5 linked regions of the Ovis aries genome follow. The protein of the gene in region 5 purifies or fractionates together with the protein of the main gene of each other region. This does not show direct contact. Links are inferred from orthologs where the notes say so. Each region holds a gene or a part of one and is shown on either strand. Other genes may lie near its edges.

What was found. Proteins that work in one complex are often made in the same cells at the same time.
Region 1: the proteins of KAT8 (region 5) and MSL3 purify together in Homo sapiens (affinity purification with mass spectrometry; 4 studies listed by BioGRID and IntAct, with this or other methods). This does not show direct contact. The link is inferred for Ovis aries from reciprocal best matches to the Homo sapiens genes KAT8 and MSL3.
Region 2: the proteins of KAT8 (region 5) and PHF20L1 purify together in Homo sapiens (affinity purification with mass spectrometry; 3 studies listed by BioGRID and IntAct, with this or other methods). This does not show direct contact. The link is inferred for Ovis aries from reciprocal best matches to the Homo sapiens genes KAT8 and PHF20L1.
Region 3: the proteins of KAT8 (region 5) and PHF20 purify together in Homo sapiens (affinity purification with mass spectrometry; 3 studies listed by BioGRID and IntAct, counting the BioPlex papers as one, with this or other methods). This does not show direct contact. The link is inferred for Ovis aries from reciprocal best matches to the Homo sapiens genes KAT8 and PHF20.
Region 4: the proteins of KAT8 (region 5) and KANSL1 purify together in Homo sapiens (affinity purification with western blotting; 4 studies listed by BioGRID and IntAct, with this or other methods). This does not show direct contact. The link is inferred for Ovis aries from reciprocal best matches to the Homo sapiens genes KAT8 and KANSL1.

What each region holds. Positions count from the first base shown.
Region 1 is NC_056080.1:9,915,795-9,920,068, reverse strand, and holds part of MSL3 (male-specific lethal 3 homolog), read right to left. Parts: intron 3,718-4,274; coding exon 3,455-3,717; intron 2,670-3,454; coding exon 2,560-2,669; intron 1-2,559. UniProt on the Homo sapiens protein: Non-catalytic component of the MSL histone acetyltransferase complex, a multiprotein complex that mediates the majority of histone H4 acetylation at 'Lys-16' (H4K16ac), an epigenetic mark that prevents chromatin compaction.
Region 2 is NC_056062.1:21,559,979-21,564,252, reverse strand, and holds part of PHF20L1 (PHD finger protein 20-like protein 1), read left to right. Parts: intron 1-1,300; coding exon 1,301-1,443; 3' UTR 1,444-4,274.
Region 3 is NC_056066.1:65,008,769-65,013,042, reverse strand, and holds part of PHF20 (PHD finger protein 20), read right to left. Parts: intron 1,446-4,274; coding exon 1,332-1,445; intron 253-1,331; coding exon 64-252; intron 1-63. UniProt on the Homo sapiens protein: Methyllysine-binding protein, component of the MOF histone acetyltransferase protein complex.
Region 4 is NC_056064.1:45,869,979-45,874,252, forward strand, and holds part of KANSL1 (KAT8 regulatory NSL complex subunit 1), read right to left. Parts: intron 2,746-4,274; 5' UTR 2,663-2,745; coding exon 1,374-2,662; intron 1-1,373. UniProt on the Homo sapiens protein: Non-catalytic component of the NSL histone acetyltransferase complex, a multiprotein complex that mediates histone H4 acetylation at 'Lys-5'- and 'Lys-8' (H4K5ac and H4K8ac) at transcription start sites and promotes transcription initiation.
Region 5 is NC_056077.1:27,733,163-27,738,192, reverse strand, and holds the start of KAT8 (histone acetyltransferase KAT8), read right to left. Parts: upstream 2,978-5,030; 5' UTR 2,960-2,977; coding exon 2,749-2,959; intron 1,534-2,748; coding exon 1,459-1,533; intron 1,377-1,458; coding exon 1,201-1,376; intron 1-1,200.

The DNA.
Region 1 (4,274 bases), on a different chromosome or scaffold from region 5:
GGGAATCCACCATCACTGGAGGCACGAAGGGCACACTCACGTGCAAAGCCAGATCATGTGGTTAGTTAGCGAGCCTGGCTACTTCCCTCCCTCAATTCTGCAGCTCAATGTAGTGAATCAGCTCTCTCAAAGATGCATTATGGGGGAAAATAACAGGTTTCCAGTGGAGGAAGTCTCAACCAGGGTGTGCACAGTAATCGCCTGTGATCTCAACCAGGACTACGCCAGTCCAAACCCTCCCTGGTGCGGCTGGGCGGCAGATGACATTGGGAGAGTGAGTCTCAGGTGGTCAGGATGCAGGGCCCTGGGGAAAACATGCTGCAATGGAGGCTTTATGCAGATGGAATGCACCAAGGTCTCATCATGAGGGCCTGTCCAACCCCAACCACTTTTTCACTAGACTTTGTAGCTGTACCTACCACCACCAGATGGCGGCGTTGCAACAGTGACCAGAGTGGGAATGGCTGTGCCTCAGTATTCAGATGTTTTCTGGGGGTCCCCAACTTTTTGGCACCAGGGACCAGTTTTGTGGAAGACAATTTTTCCATGGCCCTGGGGCGGGGGACAGTTGGGGATGATTCAAGTGCATTAGATCTATTGTGTGCTGTATTTCTATTATTACATCAGCTCCACCTCAGCTCATCTGGCCTAAGATCATGGAGGTTGGGGACTACTGTAAGAAACAGGATTCTTCTTGAATAAAAACACCTGCAGGGCTTTCTAGTCTGAAAAAAGGAAAATTAGGGACTGCTTGCACTAGGAATTTCCTAACCTTCCCTCAACATCACTGGAACATGAACTGGGTTTTCTAGCAGAGGTCAGTCAACTTATAGCCCGTGAGCCAAAGCAACCCCCTCATGCTAAAAACAACTGTTTTTAAATGTTTTTTTTTAAATTAAATGACTACTACTTCATAACATATAAAAATCATATGAAAAAAAATAAAATAAAAAAATAAAAATCATATGAAATTTGATTACTAGCACACATGAATATTCATGGGAGGGACTGATGCTGAAGCTCCAATACTTTGGCCACCTGGTGTGAAGAACTGACTTATTGGAAAACACCCTGATGCTACGAAAGATTGAAGGCAGGAGGAGAAGGGGACGACAGAGGACGAGATGGTTGGATGGCGTCATCGACTCAATGGACATGAGTTTGAGTAAGCTCCAGGAGTAGGTGATGGACAGGGAGGCCTGGCATGCTGCGGTCCATGGGGTCCAAAGAGTTGGACACGACTGAGCAAGTGCACTGAGACCGAGCACACACGAATGAATTTTGGGGCCACCCAGCACACCCCTTTATGAACTATTCACACCACTTTCACAAGCTGATGCACAACCCTGAAAATATTTACAATCTGACCCTTTATAAGAAAAGTTTGCTAACCCCTGTCACCAACCATTCTGTCTGGTAAAGCCATCCTCCCCTGTGCACAGAAACAAGGAAAGCCCACTTGCTAGGCAAGATTCATACAATACCCCAGTGGACTAAGACATTTCCTGAACTCCTTAAATACTCGCTATGTATCTCAGTTAACTGGCCTTAAAAATAGTTTCAAACTGAAGCTTTCTTGTCTGTAAAAGGGAACTCTGCTGGTAAGGTTATTCTCAAGAACGTGAGGTAATTTAGATCAAGTGCCTGGCACAATGCTAGCATACAGCATGCCCTCAAAGGGATGGCTATTAATATTACTGTTAAAGATGGGTTTTATATTTCTAAATGGTTAAGACCAAAAGTAAAATATCACATAAATAAAAAATTATCTGATATGCAAATGGCAGTGTCCATAAACATGGTTTTATTGCAACACGGCACACTCATTCACTTACACAGTGTCCGGGGCTGCTTTGGAGGTGGGGAGTCTCAACAGTGACTATGTAGCCCACAAGGTTGAAAATATTTACTCTCTGGCTTTTTGCAGAAAAACTGTACTGACAACTGTTCTATAAAATAACAATACTCCTATTTCAATACTTGGACTTATTTGAAATAAAAGAGGAATGGAAGTACAGGGCTATAATCCTAACCACTGTCTCATTTTCAGTTCAGTTGCTCAGTCGTGTCCGACTCTTTGCGACCCCATGAATCGCAGCACACCAGGCCTCCCTGTCCATCACCATCTCCCAGAGTTCACTCAGACTCACGTCCATCGAGTCCGTGACACCATCCAGCCATCTCATCCTGGGTCGTCCCCTTGAGCCTCGGTAGTGTAGCGATTAGGCAGACGGGCAGGTGGACAGGCAATCTGGCTCCGTAGGTCAGGAGTTCGAATCACCTGCTTGACCCTTTAAGCGAGCCGCAGTAGTGTAGCGGTTAGGCAGGCAGGCAGGCAGTCTAGGGTCCAGAGGTCAGGAGTTCGAATCCCCGTGGTAACTGTCTCATTTTAGATACCACAAATACAATGTTGCACATCATACAAAAAATTCTGTTAATATCTATGGCAAGAGTAACAATGTTTCTTCTAAGCAAACATGATTTCATCTTGTAAGACTTTTTAAGAAAACACAAAAGGAAGGGTTCAATGCAGGTGAACAACAGACACTAATGCTTTACCTCATTTATTTCATTAGTTCTTCTGCCTTCAAAGCCAGCAAACACAGCACTCCCTTCCTTGCTAGGGGTCAGAGGAACAGGCGAGGATGATCTGCTATGAACAGGTGTCTCTTTAAAAGGAAAAGACTTTAATTAGTCACCAATTAATTATCCACTAATTAATCATACAGCTACCGAATTAAAGATTGCTGGAAGACCTTTACAAACAGCAGAGAAGTTTTTAATTTTTACCAATAAGACTTCCCTGTCAAGGACAGTACCTGGAATATTATTTGATGGAAAAAAGGAAAGAAAAGGAATCAAGTTCGGAGATATCCCTAGTGGCTCAGACAGAATTCACCTGCAATGCAGGAGACCTGGGTTTGATCCCTGAGTTGGGAAGATCCCTTGGAGAAGTGAATGGCAACCCACTCCAGTATTCTTGCCTGGGAAATCCCATGGACAGGGGAGCCTGGCAGGCTACAGTCCAGGGGGATCACAAAGAGTTGGACACAACTGAGTGACTAACACTTTCATTTTCACACTTCACTGGGATAAACTACGTACAACATGATGAAACTTGAAAACATTGTATGTTAAGTGAAAGAAGCCACGGACAAAAGGCCACGTATTGCATGATTCCACTGATGAAGTCATGCCTAGAAGAGGCAGACCCATACGTACAGGACGTTAACTAGTTCAGGGCTGGAGAGAGGGACTGCAAACAGACGTGAGCCAGAGCGAAACTGGTCAGTACCAGGAATCCTGATTGTAGAGCTGAAGACGTGGGGGGCGGGGGGGGGGGGCTCCCATCTCCCGCTGGACTGGGTTCAGGAGCACGGTGCCTGACCCAGACCAAGCACAGAGTCCACATCAGCTCTCCCCGGTATGGCCCTCCTACGGGCAGTGGACCTACTCTTTTCCAGGTGCAGGAACAGCTTGGGCATGCTGGCAGATGTGTCCTGCTGCCGGCGCTTGGGCTGGGGTGAGGCGCTGCTCTCAGACAGCCTGTCGCAGTTGGCAGAGTGGCGCGTGGACCGCCTCAGAGACTGCAAGGCTTCCGGCTCGCCTTTGCGCCTTTTGGGGGTGGTTGGTTCACCTGACGTTGGCTGACTCTCTGTGGACTGTGGTGTGGATGGATTCAGCAAAGGTGGGCTTGGAGAGAGCTCCTCCTGGTTCCTACAGAAGGAAGGGGAAAGCATCAGATGCACCCAGTCCACAGAATCTCTGCCAAGCCTGGAGGGGTTCCTCAATGTCCTTCTTCAGACAGAAAACACAGCCTCCACTCCACTCCAGGAGGCTTAGAAACTTTCACTTCCAGACGTGCCAAAACAAATACTTTCTTAAAAGGTACCTAAACATTATTATACCATTTTCACCCTTTAACTCTTCAAGGCACCCTGGCATTAAAGGCTGTGATATCCTTTGTCCTTGTTTTGTTTCAGTGGTTCACAACTCAGGGGTGATTCTACTCTGGGGGGAACACAGACACCTTCTGGAGTCAGTTTTGATGGTCACAACTGGGAAAGTGCCATTGGCATCCAGTGGGTGGAGGCCAGGGATGCAGCTTGCCATCCTACAGCGCATAGTTCAGCCTCCGCCACCAATAATGATCCAATTAAAAATATCGGTCGAGCCAAGGCTGAGAAACCATGGTAAGAATACAACATCATTGTGTCACAGTGTAACCACTGATAGGACTAGAATGCCACAAACGTTGGCCACATTTTGTGGAA
Region 2 (4,274 bases), on a different chromosome or scaffold from region 5:
TTATGAATAACATGATGTTCCTTAAAGTCTTAAATTATGGGACAAAAACTGCAGACAGTGACCACACTGATGGAGCTTTATTGCTTCCTTAGCATTGTATTTAGCATATCTGGCAGTTAGGGTATTTGATGGCTATTTTAGGGATTTTTCTTTTTTAAGGTAGGGACTTAAGAAATACTGTCCATCTGCCAGGCTCAGTGTATACCACATGTGGGATATTTATTAATTTCATTGAACTGTGTTTTCTTTGAAAGTCAGCATAAGGACTTTAAGCATATTTGAAATATTGGGGAAAACATTTTGTTTTCACTTTGGTCAGTGTTTTTTAAGTGAAATTAACAACAAAAAAGAACTCCTGCTAGGTTAAGTGGGTAAACTTTTAGTTCACATATACATTTTCAGATGTTTTTCTTCTGTATTTTTAATTTCATTACACAGGAACCCTAAGGAGTAGACAGGGAAAATATCCTCATTTTATAGTTGAGAAAATAAGAGTAATTGAGATTACTCGATTTCAAATCTAGTGTTTTTCCTGTGCTTTTTGACTCCCATCTTTAAACTCATAGATTGTATTTCCCACCCCCCTTTTTATTTGCAAAAGCATGCACTACTTTCACCCCCCACTAAGTTAGTGTTCCTACTGCTTTGTTTTTCCCTGTGAAAAGAGGAAATGGAAACCCACTTCAGAAGCAGCCTGCATTTGGTTATAAGCTAGCTGTAGAGTTAGTTTAGTTTTAAGTAGATTTTTAAAGAAGAAAAAATTGCAACTTGATGCCATTTTCCATTATTATTAATAAAAAGGATAAAATGTAACTAATTGCATTCTGCCTAGATTTCTAGTATGTTTGCATTTTTTTAAAGTACTGGTTCAGGAGGACACTAAGAAGTTTCCACCTCCTTTTTTTTCGTTAAAAAGAACTTATGGACTAAAAAAGGTTAGGGTAGCTGAGTTTCATTTAAGATGGAAATGATAAGCTTAAATTAATAGTAATCTTGAGCAGGTACGGGGGACGTTGTTTTCTGTTCTAGAAGTGAGTAAAAGGAGACACTCAAAATGAAGTTATTTTATATCTATAAAGGGGGAAATTACCTAAAATAATGACAGGTAAAACAACAGATAAAGGTTACCAGGATGGGCTGAGGGACAGAGGATGCTTAATGGCTCAGAGGTGGCTTGTGGCTTTCTAGAGAAAGGGAAGCGAACTCTTTCTGCATCATTTTTTCAGCCTTCTCATTATACCATTTTCTGACTGTGTTTTCAGTTGCCATGTAAATGTGTGTGTTCTCTTCTCTCTTTTAGTTCTGGAAAGCTGGCTTGATTTCACAGGGGAGTTGGAGCCACCCGATCCTCTTGCAAGGCTGCCCCAGCTTAAACGCCACATCAAACAACTCCTAATTGACATGGGCAAAGTACAGCAGATAGCCACTCTCTGCTCTGTATGATGGCAGTGAACACGTGATGCAAAGAATGGGGCTCTGTTCAGTCGACTCACTTTTATTATCCACATGGCTGCTAAGTGGATAGTTTAAAAGCTTAGTGATGTTTGGTCATTTACTGATTTGTGACATCAATAGGATGGCACCTTGAAAAGGAAAGTGAAGAACAACTTTATCAGGGAAGCTAATATTAAAAAACATTCATGAGCTAGATACAAATGACAATGTGCCATATGCCCAGGGTCAGTGGAGGTAGATTAGAATCTATGCTGAGGGAATCAGATTGGCAGGATTTTTGAGTAGTTGCTAACATGAAACACGAGATACCTGTAGGAAGAAATACGGTGCATTCTTACAGTTCTTAGTAGAAAGATCTATGTTTATAAACCAGCATTTGGCCAAAACGAAAATTGTAGAGGAGATTTAAATTGTGGAGAGTTCTGTAAGGTTGTTGTAAGAACTGTCTTCTCTGCAGTTGATCCAGCTGCACTGAAGTCCAGAGTATTAAACTTTTATGGGATCATGAACTGTTTCTTAGGTGATGAATGTCCTTGGCCAGAAAACTGACAGTAGAAGTCTCACTTCCGAGGAGAACAGCTGTGGCACCCTTACTTCGTTATGAGTATGTTTTAAAAACCGTGAAATAATTGGAATCCATTGCTGGCATTATAAACTCATTGTAAAACACAGAATGGCTCGCGGAATTGTCAGTGTGCCAAATAACGATACTGCTGGAAAGAGAGATTTAAACAACTGTGGGAGTTCTCTCACCCAAGTCTTACATAATGCCATCAGTCCATCAGAGACGCGTCTATCCCGTATACTATATATAGAATATATATAGTCAGAGTTCAGCATTCAGGTTTCAATGTACAGTTTGACCCTGAGTGTGCTTGATATTTGCCTTCAGAAAAAAAAAAGTAAATAGCCTCAGCTGGGATGAGGAGTGACAAAAATAACAAAATAATTTGTGGCTGTGGATTTTTTTTTAAACTGCTGGTAGTGGAATACTGGAAAAGCTTCATTTCTGAAGATGAATTTTATTTTTAAAAAATACATAAGGCACTCAAAACTTGTAGCTTTGATCACAAATGGACAGATTTCTGAAACCAAAGGCAACTAAGTTGCTGCGTTAGCTCTTGCTGGATCTCGGCCTGGCCTCCGTCTGCCAGTGCTCTTGCGAGGCGTGTGCCGCCCCCATGCTCGCGCAGGTGTGCGTTCAGTGTGTATGCTTGTTTGAAACAAACACTCAGCATACATGTGTACATAATCGACATATTTATATCTACACATATCTAGTTTTATTACTATAGTCTATAAGAGTTGGTGGTTAACATGAAATGTTACCTTTTAACAGACTGTTTTTAAAAAATTAAAAATGTTATGTATAGGTTTTGAAACTTTTTTAAAAAGGGGGGAGAAAAGACTGTTAAGAGGAGGCTATTTGATGACATGTTAACACTTGAATATTTTATGCCTCATCCTGTTTATCAGTTCTAGCAATCTGTATAAATGCATTTTAGAACTGATAGACAGTCAACTTGAATTTATCTTTGATAAGAATACATGCCACTGTACATTCAGATATTATTTAAAACTGCAAACACACTGTTCTATATGTAAGGTACTGTATGTAAAACTCTTTATTAAAACAATTCCACATATCATAAAATTTCAGCTTGCCTTTTTGCGGCCTTATATTTTGATGTAAAGATGATTAAAAGAATGTGCAAAGCAGTAACTAGAAATTTTTATTGCCTTTTGAGATTCTCCGACTTGACCCATGTGCCAAAGATCACAGACGTAAAATACAGCCCTGTGTATTTACTTATGATGCATTACCATTGTGAGAGACCTTACTGAGAAATGAAAAGCTTTAGTAGAGGAGATACAAGGTAGTTATTAAATATGAGGATTAAAGTAAAAAAAGATAGTGCCTGTGTTTCACATGTGGAGTAAACTTTCTAATGTCTCTTTTTCAGGGTTGATACTCTATTTTTTCATTTGTGTTTTAAAATAATGACCCTAATCTTTCCCCTGTTGTTAAATTCTAGACATTTATCTGTTTTTCAGAATGGAACAAATAGCATTCTTAACAGGCTGTGAACAGTGGTGTTGCCCAGATTCTTGTCACATGCTCGAGGGACCTTTTGTGCCTAGTAACACTCATATTCTCAGCCCCTGATGACCATAGTTAAATTAATGTGCATTTTTTCTTGGGACATTTTAAAATTAGATCACTTTGATAGCCAGCTGACTAGAAGTTTCATTAATAATTAGAATATTGAATTCTTGCTCTGCTTTAATGAATTGGGAGTCTGAAGTTTTTAATTTATATTTTAAAGTAAATCTGTATTGAATTACTTATACGCACATCTCCATTTATTAATAATACAGAGTGTATCAAAAATTGGTTGAAGCCTTTTAGCAACGATAGGCTGCTGACTCATTCTGTATTTAGGTGAGTGAATTTGTTTTTGACAAGTCAGTCCATTGTGAGAGGTTTCGGAGGAGTTGGTTTTCTTTCCACGTAGTCTTACTTTAAAAAAAATGTGAGTATATACATCTAAATATAAGCAGTAAACTAGGGAGGGTGTTTCTTGAAAAGGTAACTTTTCATTGCCACCCAGACAGAGTAGACAGACACTGTAGGGAGAGATCCTTCTTAGTCTGCTACTGATAAGTATAGTTTGTACTTCTTCATACTCACAGTGTGGTTCTGCTGACTTTCAAACTTGAGTAGTGTACACTTTCCTTAAAGGAAATTGATTATTCTCATTATTTAAGGTGAAATCCTTTTTCCCACATTCACCTTATTTCCACTGACTTACATCCTC
Region 3 (4,274 bases), on a different chromosome or scaffold from region 5:
GACAGGTTCTCACCAGACAGGCAGCAGATTGGCAAGACCATTCTAGAACAGACTCTGACTCACCTTCTTCTGATTCCTTGGTATTGGATGAAGTGTTTTGCAAAGGATCAGTATTAACCGTATCAACCAAATCTGATACAACCAAGTCAGGATCTAGAATTTCGTGGGTCCCATTAGTGGACAGCCTGGAAGACCGTCTCCTTGATAAGTCTTTGTCAGTGTTTTCCGAGTAGTTTTTTGACTTTTCCTGGGCTATAAACCATTAAGAGAGTTGCAGTCAAGAGACCAGAAGAAATAACTCTGCTACTACAGATTTCTGGGGCTTCCCACGAGATGCTAGTGGTAAAGAACCCACCTACCAATGCAGGAGACATAAGAGATGCAGGTTCAATACCTGTGTTGGGAAGATCCCCTGGAGGAGGAAATGGCAACCCACTCTAGTATTCTTGCCTGGAGAATCTCATGGACAGAGGAGCCTGGCGGGCTATAGTCCACAGAGTCACAAAGAGTCAGACACTACTGAAGTGAATTAGCACACACAGATTTCTGGACTGGCTGCCTTGATAAGGGCTTCAAACAGACTTCTGGCATCAATGATGAAAGGAAATACCTTATCCTGGCTTATAGTTTTAAATAAAGGCACAGTCTTTCTGCCAGGACATAATTTTCCTAATTTAAAGATTTATGATATGAAAATATGTGGGCAAGGTCACATCCCACTTGACAAGTGCTATTTTGGGGCTTTCCAACATAAAAATGTACGTATTAACAACACCCCAAGGCAATAAGGTTTACAGAGCCTTAGAGTCATCACAAGTCCTTTCTGGAACCAATAGGGTATTTTTTAAAAATCAATCAATAGCATTTTTTTTAATGGAAGTATAGTTGATTTACAATGTTGTGATAGTTTCAGGTGTGCATGAATATACAGGTTCATGCACATATATATGCTCTTTTTCAGACTCTTCCACTACACTAGGTTATTTTAAAATATATAGCTCCCTGTGCTAGAGTAAGATCAATAAATATATATTTAAAGTTTCACTCAGCATATGAAATCCATCACTTCCTAAGCCATTAAATTTCCAGTGGAATCCAAATCAGATGGGTATGGAAACGGCATTACTGAACTCAACATTAACATAGCTTGTGCTTTGGGATTTATTTTCCCTCTAGCAAAACTCCTCTGATCCAAACACATCCCATTCACACTAGCCCCTGTGATCAACAAGCCATTAGAGTCTATCAGGCCCAGGGGACAACAAGGACACAGGGGAGCTAACCCAATGGTTGTCAAGTTCCAGCCACACATACACAAACTGAAGACTCACATGAATTTTTGTCAAGCCGAGGACGTTTTAACGGGACTTCATTTCCTTTTGATATTTTCCGTCTTCTCAATTCCAATGTTATTGGTTGCAAAGTTTGAGAGTTTGAATCCACAGCTACAATGTATATAAAACCACACACACACAAAAAGATATGTAGTTTTTTTTGACCAATTTTCATGCTGTATACAAATAAAACATATATATATGTGTGTGTGTATATATATAATATATAGGTATATATGTATATACACACACATCCACACAAATCGTTGCATGATAAATAAACCCTCAAAGGGCATTCTTACTTAAGCCAAAAGGAGTAAAAAGTGAAATGGGTGAGAGATTACTACCTTATAGGAAATGCTGACACCCTGCAGACTGACCTCTGAATCTTTGTGATCTTTCCTATGACCCAGCTCTAGTCATATACTGATCTCCTAAAACCCAGTCCTTAAATATCCTAATATGACTCCTTTAAAATATGAGGGTACAAAGGCAATAGTAAAGTCATTTTTATAACCATCAAATCTTCTCATCAAAATTTGGCTTATCCAGTACTCAGGAAATCCACCATGTAGGCTAATTCTTAAAATGTTGTACCCTGGGACTAAAGTTTGATTATTATTTTCAGCCTCTACTTGCTGAACTGGTCAGTTTGGCATTGGTCCTAGTTTTGAGGGACCAAAGAGAATGTCAACATTTACAACCTCTTAAAAATAATTCCAGAAAAATCTCAGGAGACCACGCTATTTGATAGCCAATGTTCCAGACAAGGCTGCTTAACACTGGCAAATCCAGCACTGACATAATTTTAGCAGTGCAGAAGCTAAACCCTTAGACAGTACTCACTTTTTATTTTTTAAACCTAACGCTTAAGAAGTTCTCTCCCATCAGGAAAGATAAGAATCAAAGAGGCAGGCAGAAGATAAAAAACAAAAGAAAAGAAATTGGGAAGCTTGAAGGAAAGGTAGGGCTACGGGGTCTGATGAAGGTTGAAACGAGAGAAAGCAGCAGCCAGGGGAAGGAAGAGAGGGAAGAGGGAAGGAAATGGGAGGGGAAGAAGGAGGGGGAGAGAGAAGACTCATCTAAGACCAGAAGCTTCAGATCTGCCATGTCAAATGTACAAAGGACAGAGGGTTGAGCTTTGAAGAGGCAAACCTGATGAGAATGCTGATCTCTTTGGTTCTTTGTGTGTTCAAGCTTCTCAATGTGCCAACAGTACTTCGTTCCAAGGGTGGGAACTTAGAGATCACACACATTCCACATTAAATACAAACAACCCTCCCTAAATAGCTCAGATCTGGGTCCAGTAAGGTCTGCATAATCTAGCGAGCTCAAGCCTCCACCATGTCAATTGACTTATTTCAAGCAATTTTTAAAGCGGATTTGAAGTATATGAAATACTGGCAAGCCTTCACATTGATACCATATACAAAACGGGGCTAACCACGCAGAAATTCAATGTTTCCCAACAATGAATTCTTTTTACAGTAAGAATCATCTGGGAAGGTTGTTAATAATTAGTATTCCCAGATCCTGCTCCAGAGATTCTAACGAGAGGAACAGCTCAGACAAGTGTTAACAGTAAGCTTGGAAAACCCCAGTTCTCTATTAAATTTGATCCTATCTTGTGTAACATCGTACACTTAATACAAGCAATAAACTGAATGCCCCATTTTTAATCTGAGTGAAGTAAGGTGGCTTCAGAGAAGCAGTCTGCAGACTGGAATGCAAGTATCCCAGTCTACACTTTCCAGAGAGTACAACCCACTGTAAGAGTAACCAAAGGGGATTCTGTTTCAGAATGCTCAAGTCCCACATACTCACTCTCTTCCCTAAACTATAGTGAGGACACAGCAGGTTTCTGCCTGTTCACACTGTCTACCTTTTCTTGAATAAGTGCCCTTCTCCCACTTACACAAAAAGGCCTGCTTATTTACATCCCACATCATAAAACGGTACACTGCACAGAGGTTTAAAACGTCTAGACCTTCTCAACAGGGGTTCCTCATTTGAAAACAGAACAAAGGTTATTTTCTTAATTCTCCCAAGAGTGGTTTATAACTAGTACCACCACCAACTGGCAGAAGTCAGTTCACTACAGGTTACAGATGCCTTGGGCATTAGAGCTTAATTCTCTGTTGGAATCCTACTGAGAAAGCCAGTGAATTTAGACCACTGCTGTCCAACAGAAATATGAGAGCCACAAATGGAAGCCACAGAGATAATTTTAAATTTTCAGTTGTCACTTGAAAAAGTTAAAAAAGTGAAAATAATTTAAACTTATATTTTATATTTATGTTAAATATATAATTAAAATAGCTACATATTTATATTAAATAGATGAATTATACTGAATAGATTTAAATTTTATATTTATATAAAATATTCTGTAAATATAAAAAGTAACATTTATATACTTAAATATGAATATTTAATTCATATTTAACCCAATGTATCCAAAAATATCATTTCAATATGTAATCAATATTTTTAAACTATTGAGATATTCTACATTCGTGGGTGGGTTTTTTTTTGTTGCTGTTGTTTAGTACTATTTGCAATCCAGAGTGTGTTTTATGGGTTTTGTTTTGTGTTTTGTTTATTTGGCAATGCCATGTGGCTTGTGGGATCTTAGTTTCCAGACAAGGGATTGAACCCAGACTCTGGGCAGTGAAAGCACGGAGTCCTAACCACTGGGCAGCCAGGGAATTCCCTCCAGTGTGTGTTTCCCCATCTCAATTCAGAATAGCCGCATTTCAAGTGCTCAATAACCACAAGTGGCTAGCAGCTACCATACTGGACAGCCTAAGTCTAGGCCCCAGTTAAGCAGAGGTACAATGCTGAGCTATTTGAGAGTGAAAACAACCACTGAAAGGGGAAGTGCCTTATTTCAACTGGGAAGAAATCAAACCATTGTCCAATTTCATACCTTAAAATTAG
Region 4 (4,274 bases), on a different chromosome or scaffold from region 5:
GCGGTTTATGTAGCAAAGTCAGCGGGGATAATGCCACAAATATTGCCAAGCTGACTGAAGCTACTAATCCATTTAAGGAAAGATAACTATGTTACAGCAATGCTCTGAAATTTATCTGCTTTAGACCTGAATAGAGAAGTGGACTCTTGAGCACACTAAGCCTGCAAGTGATAATGGCACTTGGTCTACCTGGGAAAAAATTCAGCACGATTATCCAGACTTTTTTCACTCAAAACAGAAACATAACCCAAATTTCATACTCAGATACAGTGTTATCCATGTTTATAACAAACTGGAGGAAAACAAAAGGAAATCTACTTATGCTTAGAAGCATAGCTGTCTCAGTAAAGTCTCCAGTGAAAATCTTAAGTCACCTTTTAATTACAGGCAAGGGACAGTCAACTATTCCAACACAGCCACCTACTTCAGTCTTCTCTAGCAATCCAAATTTTACAACATTCCCACCCAAAAAGGATCTACTAGTCAACTCTTCTGCCCTCTTTTCCAACTATTCATCTCCCTCTCTCATGAAGTCTAAATAAATGCAGATCTATCTTTAAGGAGATATACTGTACTTTCTTATCTTAGCGCTAAATATAGGAGCTAAATATAGGAGGTAAACCATGTATGTCTCTACCAGGTTCATGTAAAGTGCCACTTAGAGCTTATGGAGAATTTTCCTCAACCCAACACATTTTGAAAATCCAGTAAGAATTTATCCCAAATACGTAAATACATTTAACTTAGTTGAAAGAAAATAAAACCCAAATCTGATAAAGTTAGGAAGAGAATCAGGTTGTGTGATAGCATAGCACGCTTGGAGACAACCTACAAAATACTCTGAAGCACTTCCTGATTATTAGTCCTTATTTTTTTAATAAGGAAATCTCAAATGTCAAAATTGAAAACCAGGTACATTCTCTGCTAAAAGCTCAATTAAAAGCAACCATAAATTCCAGAGAACTTAACTAGGTCAACCAAACTTTCGCCCCACTTACTAGAAACAACAATCCGAAGTCAAGCCTCACAAACTTACAAAACATCTACATATGGTTTCAAAAGAAATCTAATTATTCACTGTGAAAGAAGAATGGGTAGTTTTACAAACTGGAAATCATCTAGTTTTCTCTTAATAAGATTTCCATGGGAAATTAGCAGCTTTTATCCTACAGCAACACAAAACCAAAAATACCTTCCATTTCTTCACTAGCAGGTATATATGTACCCCCCCTACCTAAAATTAGGAAAAAGACAAACAGATTCTAGGCACCCATCATACCATGAAGTCCTATCTTCCCATGATGGGAATTCACCAAGTCTTTCTCCCTCGTCTGAACGTTTCTGAAAAAGACATTATGTGTGGTTCTACTCACAGGGGTACGTGGCGCTGCTCAGGGTCAGCTCTGGCCAGTTCCTCCTCTTCGATATCAGACTCTCCTCCTGAACTACTGTCTGTGATGTCGGAATCAAACGCTCGTTCACTGCACCTCAAGTTGGCTACACCACTGGCTGTAAATCTCTCCAATTCTTCTGAAATCGAGTCACTTTTCAGGAAGTTGCTAAGTCCCTCTGAAGCAGCGGTCTCACTGGCAGCTTTTCTCAATGCAGCTTCGGCCTTTCGAGTCAGCATCAACTGGCTCCGGGGCCTCAAGGATTCCAAGTTTGGCAGCCTGCTTAAAGTTTTCTCTAAAAATCCACCCAGCTGATGCTGTATGTGCCTCTCCACCTGCTTGGCTTGCACAACCTGTAAGCGCTTCTGTAACCTGCGGGCCCGGCTCTCAATGTCAGCCTGCCGCCGCAGTAAAGCTGTTATCCTGGTGTCAGAATCTAAAGCACTGAAAAGGATGGAAGACAGGGGAGGCTTTTTACCCTCTAACTTGACACCCCCCACATTAGAACCAGAGTCTGTGTCAGGTGATAACCTACTGCTTCCTTGAAGTGCCGGCTGTTCCATGGAATTTACAGAAGATTTGTTTGCAGTGCTAGTATTGCTAAATACAGTTGTATGTTCTACATCAAGGCTTCTGTGTGGAAGAGTGCAATTGGTCATAGCCCCTTTCAAGTCCCCAGACTCAGATGCCACCACCTCACCCCCCTGAAGAGAAGATGAAGTGAGAGCCCGTTTTCCCCCATTAAGGGGACTGGAATTGTCATGATCAGAATGTGTTGAACTTTTAGTCAATTTCTTCGCCAACCCATTTACAGGTGCTTGTGGCAGAGCTGTCTGACCACTTGTATTCATGGTTCTAAGATTTTCTAAGGAAAACTCCAAAACTGGCTGTCTTCCCAACAGCTCAGCTCGGAGTTCATAGGACTGAGATAAGAGAGGGTGAGGTTTGAGTACTGTCTGCTTGCTGAAGACACCTTGCAGCTTCAGTGACTCCTTTGCGGGAACAGCTGTCACATCGGAGCAGAGATAAGACGCCACCAGCGGCTGCAGCTTCCCCAGGTCTTCCTTGGTAGGGTTATTTCGGAAGTCTAGACTGGGGTCCTCTGCAGCGATGGCTTTCCTTTTGGTTCCGTTGGCAGCAATAAGGATGTTGGCGTTGCCGTTATTCTCGGCACTGCCAGGGGACAAAGTGGAGGATGGGGGAGCCAGTTTGAACCGGATATGGTGTGTTTCAGCTGCTGCGTCAGTGAGAGCGGGCGCCATCGCAGCCATTCAGCACAGAGAGACAGGAAGTCCAGCCTCTCCCGGTGCCGAGGCCAGCTCCACAGCCCCTTACCGCCTCCCCAGAGAACAGACTAGAAGAGAAAGAAGAAAAGGAAGTTAGAAATACAAACACATTAGAAAACAACACACATGTTTTTAATACAAACATCATGGAGGCTGTTAACCAAACTCTGTCTTCAAGAAAACACTCAAACCAAAAGGGGAGGGTGTTGGGGCGGGGCCACAGCTCTACAAAAGAAAGAATTCCATCCTTCCTTTTAGTCACTTGTTACTATAAATTAAAAGTAGTCACAGACTGTTAAAGTCAGATCATCTGCATTTAAGAAAAAAACAGCTTTAAAACTTCTTGAAATTAGTGAATTTAAAGCAAATGTATCAAACTAAACACCAGGAATCAAACAGAAAAGAATTAGAATTCCTCATTCCCTACCCAAAGTTTGTATGCCAGATGTCTGTACATTTCTGGCCGAAGGATCCAATGTTTGTCAGCTTCTCTGTAAGACAGATCATACTAAAAGTTTTACTGTATCACACCTGTAATGCCAGTTTATTTCATCTATTTTCTTTTTTTCCCACTGTTCTCAGTATAGCCCACCTCTCAAATTAATTGCCCAATCAATGTGTCTCTTTTCTTCACAACTTCTTGAAAGAAGAGTTATAAATAGCTGCCTCTGCCCTTCTCACTCTTCTGTAATCTGCCTTCTACTCCTATGGCTCTGGCAAAGGTCACAAGCAATCTCATTATCAAATCCCATGCTCAAGTCTCAGTCCCCATTCTATCTGACTTCTCTGAAGCATTAGGTAGTGCTGACCACCCCACTCTTCTGGAAATTCTTCTTTCCCGATGTCCTTGACAGCAAGGTCCCTTCTGCCCTCTTCTCTCTCAACTCACTTCCTTGGCAACAATCTTGATAGCAACGTGTAAGTCCTCTGGTCGCTCAGAAAAACACCGTCAGCTACACTAATCAACATCCTCACCTCTGTGTACCTCAAGCCCCCTGAAGCTCAAAACTGAATTTCTTTTTACTTCTCACCCAGTTTTATCATCTCAGGAAATTGCTTTCACTGAGTAAGCCCAGCTAAAAACCTCAGCAGTGTGCCTCTTCTTCATCCCTTTTGATTTATCTGGTCTGAGAGTAAAAGGAAATCTATGTCAAGAACTAAGCCAGCAGGTACTAAAGTGCGGCCTACAAACTTCTTGAGAGCTCAAAGACCATTTCAGAGTTCCACAAGATCAAACTTTTCATAATAATATTAAACATTATTTGCCTTTTTCCACAGTGTTGATGTTTGCGATAGGGATGCAAAAGACAAGTCTGAGCAAAACTGCTGGTACCTGAGCAAAAATCAAAGCAGAGATACCTAACTGTACTAATAGCCTCTGGTCACTGTATTCTTTACTCATTTAGTTTAAAAATAAAACTTTTTTTAAAAGGTTATTACAATGACCTTTGATATCCTTGATGAAATACAGAAATTCTGAACTTTATTAAATCTCCACTCAAGTCTTCAGTGCGTGTCTATACGTTTATCTATATATTCTGTGCAATGAAAGGGAAAGTACACATAAAGCACTTCTACTGCTTTAAGAAAACTGAGT
Region 5 (5,030 bases):
TCTACTAATAGCTGTGCCCCACAGTCTGCAAACCATTGCTGCAAAACCCACAATGAGTGCTCAGGATGCAATTGCACTGGGTGAAAATAACAAAAATCTGGGTTCCTTAAGAGCTTCATAAAGCCTCTTCTCATCTGCACACTCCATTTCACAAATCAAGAAACTGAGGCTCAAAGTGGGAGAAAAGAAACCCCCCAGGGGCAGGCTGGCTTCAAGAAAAGAACCCAAATTTTGTTTCTTTTTTTTTAGCCCAGAGGCATGAGGGATCTTAGTTCCCCAACCAGGGATTGAACTCACACCCCCTGCATTGGAAGGACAGAGTCTTAACCACTGGACCACTAGGGAAGTCCCCAAATCCAAGCTTTGGAAATAAATGGCAGGAGTTTCTAGGCTATTTCCAAGTCAAGACTAAGGGCTTGTGCCCCAAAGTAGAACAATCTAGTTGGCAAATCTAATTCATGACTGGGTTCCTAAAACTACCTGCACCTCCCTTATAAACTGGGGATATAGTTTACCTCACAGAGTTGCTGTGAAATTTCAATGAGATCATGTTCTAGAATACTTAGCCTAATACTGTGGCTCACAAGCCAATAAATGTGCCATTATTACTCTAATTTCAGCCCACCCTTTTATATACTAGCTGTGTGACCTTGGGCAAGTTACTTAACCTCTCTGAGTCTGCTTCCTGCTTTCCTCAAAAAGAATTAATTAGCTCTGTGGCATTAAGTTGTTACAGAAGACCTGATGAGCTTATCCAGGCACAGCACTCAGCACAAGGGTTGGCGATTGCAAGCACCCCTAAATCACTCATTCTCTTCCTTCCCTTGGAACTTGCAGGTCCGTTTGTCAATGTGGCACAGCCAAGAGGGGCATAAATGCTGCAAGAGGCCTGAGTTCCAGTCCCAGCTGTGTCAGTTTCTTGCCACAAGACTATGGCCAAGCTCTCACCCTCTCTGAGCCTCAGTTTTCTCATCTGTGAAGAATACCTGGGAGGAGATAGATAGTCCCCCATATACTGCAGGAGCTTAAGCAATGGGAGCTGCTGTGGGTGTGGCACCAGGACCCAAGTTAGTCTGGAGAGGATGCTGAGCCTCCTGGGGCCCTGGGAAAGGGGAGGGACCCGGGGAAAGGGGTGGGCCCAGGGGAAAGGGGTGGGACCTGGGGAAGGGGAGGGACCTGGGGAAGGGGAAGAATCCGGACCTTCTGCACGTGGTTGATCTCATCATGCTTGCGTTTTTGGTTGCGAGTGATCTTGCGCTCCGGCTGCTCAGCCAGCTCGCTCAGGTACTTCTCTGAGTTCTTCTGCACAGCATCTTTCACTGTTTTGGTCAGCGCCAGCCGGTTCTTGTCGACCCATTCATCCAATCGCCGGTTAACTGTGAGGATGGGTCATGAGGGTGCTGCCCTTTCACGTTCTCCCCCAACCCCGCACCCAGACCTGAATACCCTGTCACTCACAGCCCACGTAGTGTACATAGAATTCCTCTCGGCCTTCTTGATCGTTCACTCGAGACTGGATCACTTCAGCAGAATCTGTGAAGGGAAAAGGCTAGGATCACCAAGAAAGAACACCGGGCTGGAACGAGTGACACTGAGGGGCAGGTTGCCAGATTCTGAGGCCAGATTCCGAAGCTAACCTCATCTGTTCACCTCTGCCACTCCCTTCAAACACTGTCTTGAGGTGGGCCAGATTGGGGCTCTTATTCTTATACTAGGGACAAGGAAACTGAGGCTTACCCATGCTCACCTATTTGAAAAGTAATAAGCACTAATATTTAACCGAATTCAAGTCTGGCTCCAAATTCAAGGTCTGTATTAGTATACTCAGTCGTTCATTTGTTCAGAAGCCATGAGAGCTAGTTGTGGACTCACACAGCCTCACTTCCTAGCTATATTTAACTGAACAAGTTATTTCGGCTTTCTGAGCCTCAGCGCTTTCATGTGTAAATAAGGATAACAGCGCCCCCCTCAAACGGTGATAAGCTTTCAGTACAGCAGCACCAAATGGCAGACCATTCAACAAATGACTAAGGCAACCACTGCAAGTCTGGCCCTGAGCTGGGTTGCTGCTGGGTACATAAGATACACTGATGAATCATGAGCGGTCCTGCCCTCCAGAAGTTCACACTTTGATAGAAGACAGACAATGACAACACAATGGTACATATACCGTAGCTCAGGTATAAAGAAAATGTTGCAGGAATATACAGAAGGGAACGATGCACTCTGCCTGAAGGGAGTCAAGAATGGCATCACAGGGGATATGATGCTAAAAGGATGAGTGGGGCTAGCCAGCAGTAAAAGGCATATGGTCTTAAGAGCCTGGTCTGGTCCGTCAATGGCCTTTGCTAGGAGTGCTAAAAAACAGAAAGGTGACAAAGACGAAGGCCATTCTAAGGTATTTGGGGATTATTCTGGAAATGACGCAAAAAAACAGAAGGGAGGGGAAGTTAGTTTTTGTGTTCCGGGAGGTCCTCTCCGCTGGCGGCTGTAGGATAAAAGGGGAAGTCACAGACACAAGGGAGACCAGCGAGGAAGCAGGTTAACAAAAAAAAAAAAAAGGGAATGAAGCCTAAGACTTGGCAAGTGGAATGGGAGCTCTAAAACACAGAAGGAAGACTTTGGTTAAAGCCCAGGCGGCGGGGATTGTAGGCGGCGCCGGGGCAAGTCCAAAAGACAGTGTTCTAACCCCCTCAGGCCCCGCCCCGCCCTTAGGCCCCGCCCCCTGGCCTTGGGCCCCGCCCTCACGCCAGGTGCTATCGGGCCGCCGGCACAGGTAGGTTTCTCCGATCTCCACGGTGACTTCCGGCTCGCCGCGCGCCGGGGTCGGCGGAGAGATGCGGCCTGGGGACGGAGCGGTCCCCTCGACCGCCGCATTCTCCCCGGGTCCGGGCTCGCCCTCCCCCGAGACCCCTGAAGTCGCTGCCGCAACCGCCGCAGCTGCTCCCTGTGCCGCCATCGTTGTAGTGGAAGTGACGCCAGAATATAGCGCCGCGTAGCGCCTTTAGATCCGGGTCAGCGACGCGTGGCGGAGCCCGCAGCAAGCTGGAGGGCGGGGTCTGTGACGTGGCAGGAGCTCGTTGGTTAGTGTGAGTGTCTCCGCGGCGCCGGGCCAGATTGACGTTGACTGTGCCGGTTACATTGGAGTTTCCTGTTTGGAATTGTGGCTGCACCCTAGAGTTAAAAGAGAGGAGAAAGGCTTTCCTGATGTGATGTCTCAGCTCTATCTTTTTAAGACTTCTGGTGCCTGAGGAAGCCAAGATGTGCCAGTTATCGGGCGGCGCTGCCCCCAGTTTACCGGGGCAGAGCCAGAGCAGCCTCCCTGGATGCCTGGCTTCAGGGCAATGAGCCTGAGGTTAACACCCATCCCATGCAATTCCACCAGCCAAATACTGGTCTCCCGTTTTTAAAGACTGAAGAAACTGCGTTCCTTGTTCAGGATGGGAAAAGGAGATCGGATTGGGGAAGCAGGCCCAATTAATCACTCGCACAGAATCAAGCCTTTGTAAAGAAATGACCAAGTTCCCTAAAGAGAAACTAGTCAAAGGCCCTGGACATAATAGAGAGAGTCTTGGGCTTAATGAGTGAGGAATCCTGGGTTCTGACCCTACACTGGGAGTGTCCATTCCCAGAATGTCGTTAAATGTTACACTGTATAAGCCATATAACCATAAAGATTGAACCATATGTTTATCTCTACGTATATAAAACAAGTGCGTGTTGCACAATAGCAGACAGGGTAAGGTATTCAATAAACATTCCTTTTGGCCACTCTGAGTCATATCTGACTTGTAATTTGGCTATTGGGCTTAGAAACAATTCTAAGAGGAGTGGAATGCTTAAGGTCTAAGGATGAGGTTACCGATCAGGAAACATCTAAGTATCTGTGAGTGATGGCAGTGGGAAGAGCTGGTAACTTGGCTTTGGGAAAATAAAGGAGTTTGGAGGGAGTGGTAAATGCCCTTCTGGCAGCATATGAAACAGAAGAAATAAGTCAGGCAAGAAAAAAGTTTAAAATTAAGACTGTAGTACTTGTTCCCTCTCCACCCACCCCTAGAACTATGTTGATGATTCACACAGATCCCACAGAATCATTTTTTGTTGCTTCCTTGTGCTCATATTACCTTTGATGTGCTTTCAGAAGTCAGCACCAGAGGCTTGTTTGGTGAAAAGTCTCTCAAGTTAATGGAACTGTTTTGCTTTGAAAGAGCTGAAAATGGAAGTTCTCAGTCTGGGAGTTTTAAGTACCTGCCCAATCAAATATGGACAATAAACAAATGATATCCAGCAGAGGAGTCCATCAATGACTGTGCTGCTTACCTCTTTTGCCTAGCCTCCTGCCCTTCCCTTTCCTGCCTCCCCTACTCCCTTCTGGAAGCACTTTCTCAACAAATTGCTTGGGTACAAATCTTTGTAAGATGTGCTTCTAGGGAATCCAGGGCTTCTTTGGTGGCTCAGCTGGTAAAGAATCCACCTGCAATGCGGGAGACATGGGTTCGATCCCTGGGTTGGAAAGATCCCCTGGAGAAGGGAAAGGCTACCCATTCCAGTATTCTGGCCTGGAGAATTCCATGGACTATATAGTCCATGGAGTCACAAAGAGTCGGACACGACTGAACAATTCACTCTAGGGAATCTAACCTCCCTTCCTAGCTTCAAACCCTTCCATGGATCCCTGCTACCTCCAGGATATAACTCACACTTCTTGGGCTATAATTTCAAGGTCTTTCACCCTGACTCCCATCTGCCTCTCCAGCCTCCCCGTCCTCCTCCTCCCAGCACTGCAGCAACAAGATTTTCAGCCTGGCAAATCACTAGGGTTTCCCACCACCAGATACAATTTCTGTCTCCTCTCAGTCCCCCACTTCCATCACCAGTCCCACCAAGCAGGCTTTAGGCCTTCTTCCTTCCTGGCAAGATGGGTGGGAGGGGGGTCACCACCACCTGCTCCCTGGAGCCCTTTGCCCTCTCTACCCGGGCCCCACTGTCCTCTGGGGCCTGCCAGGGCACAATCCTGTGTGTTCTTTTAC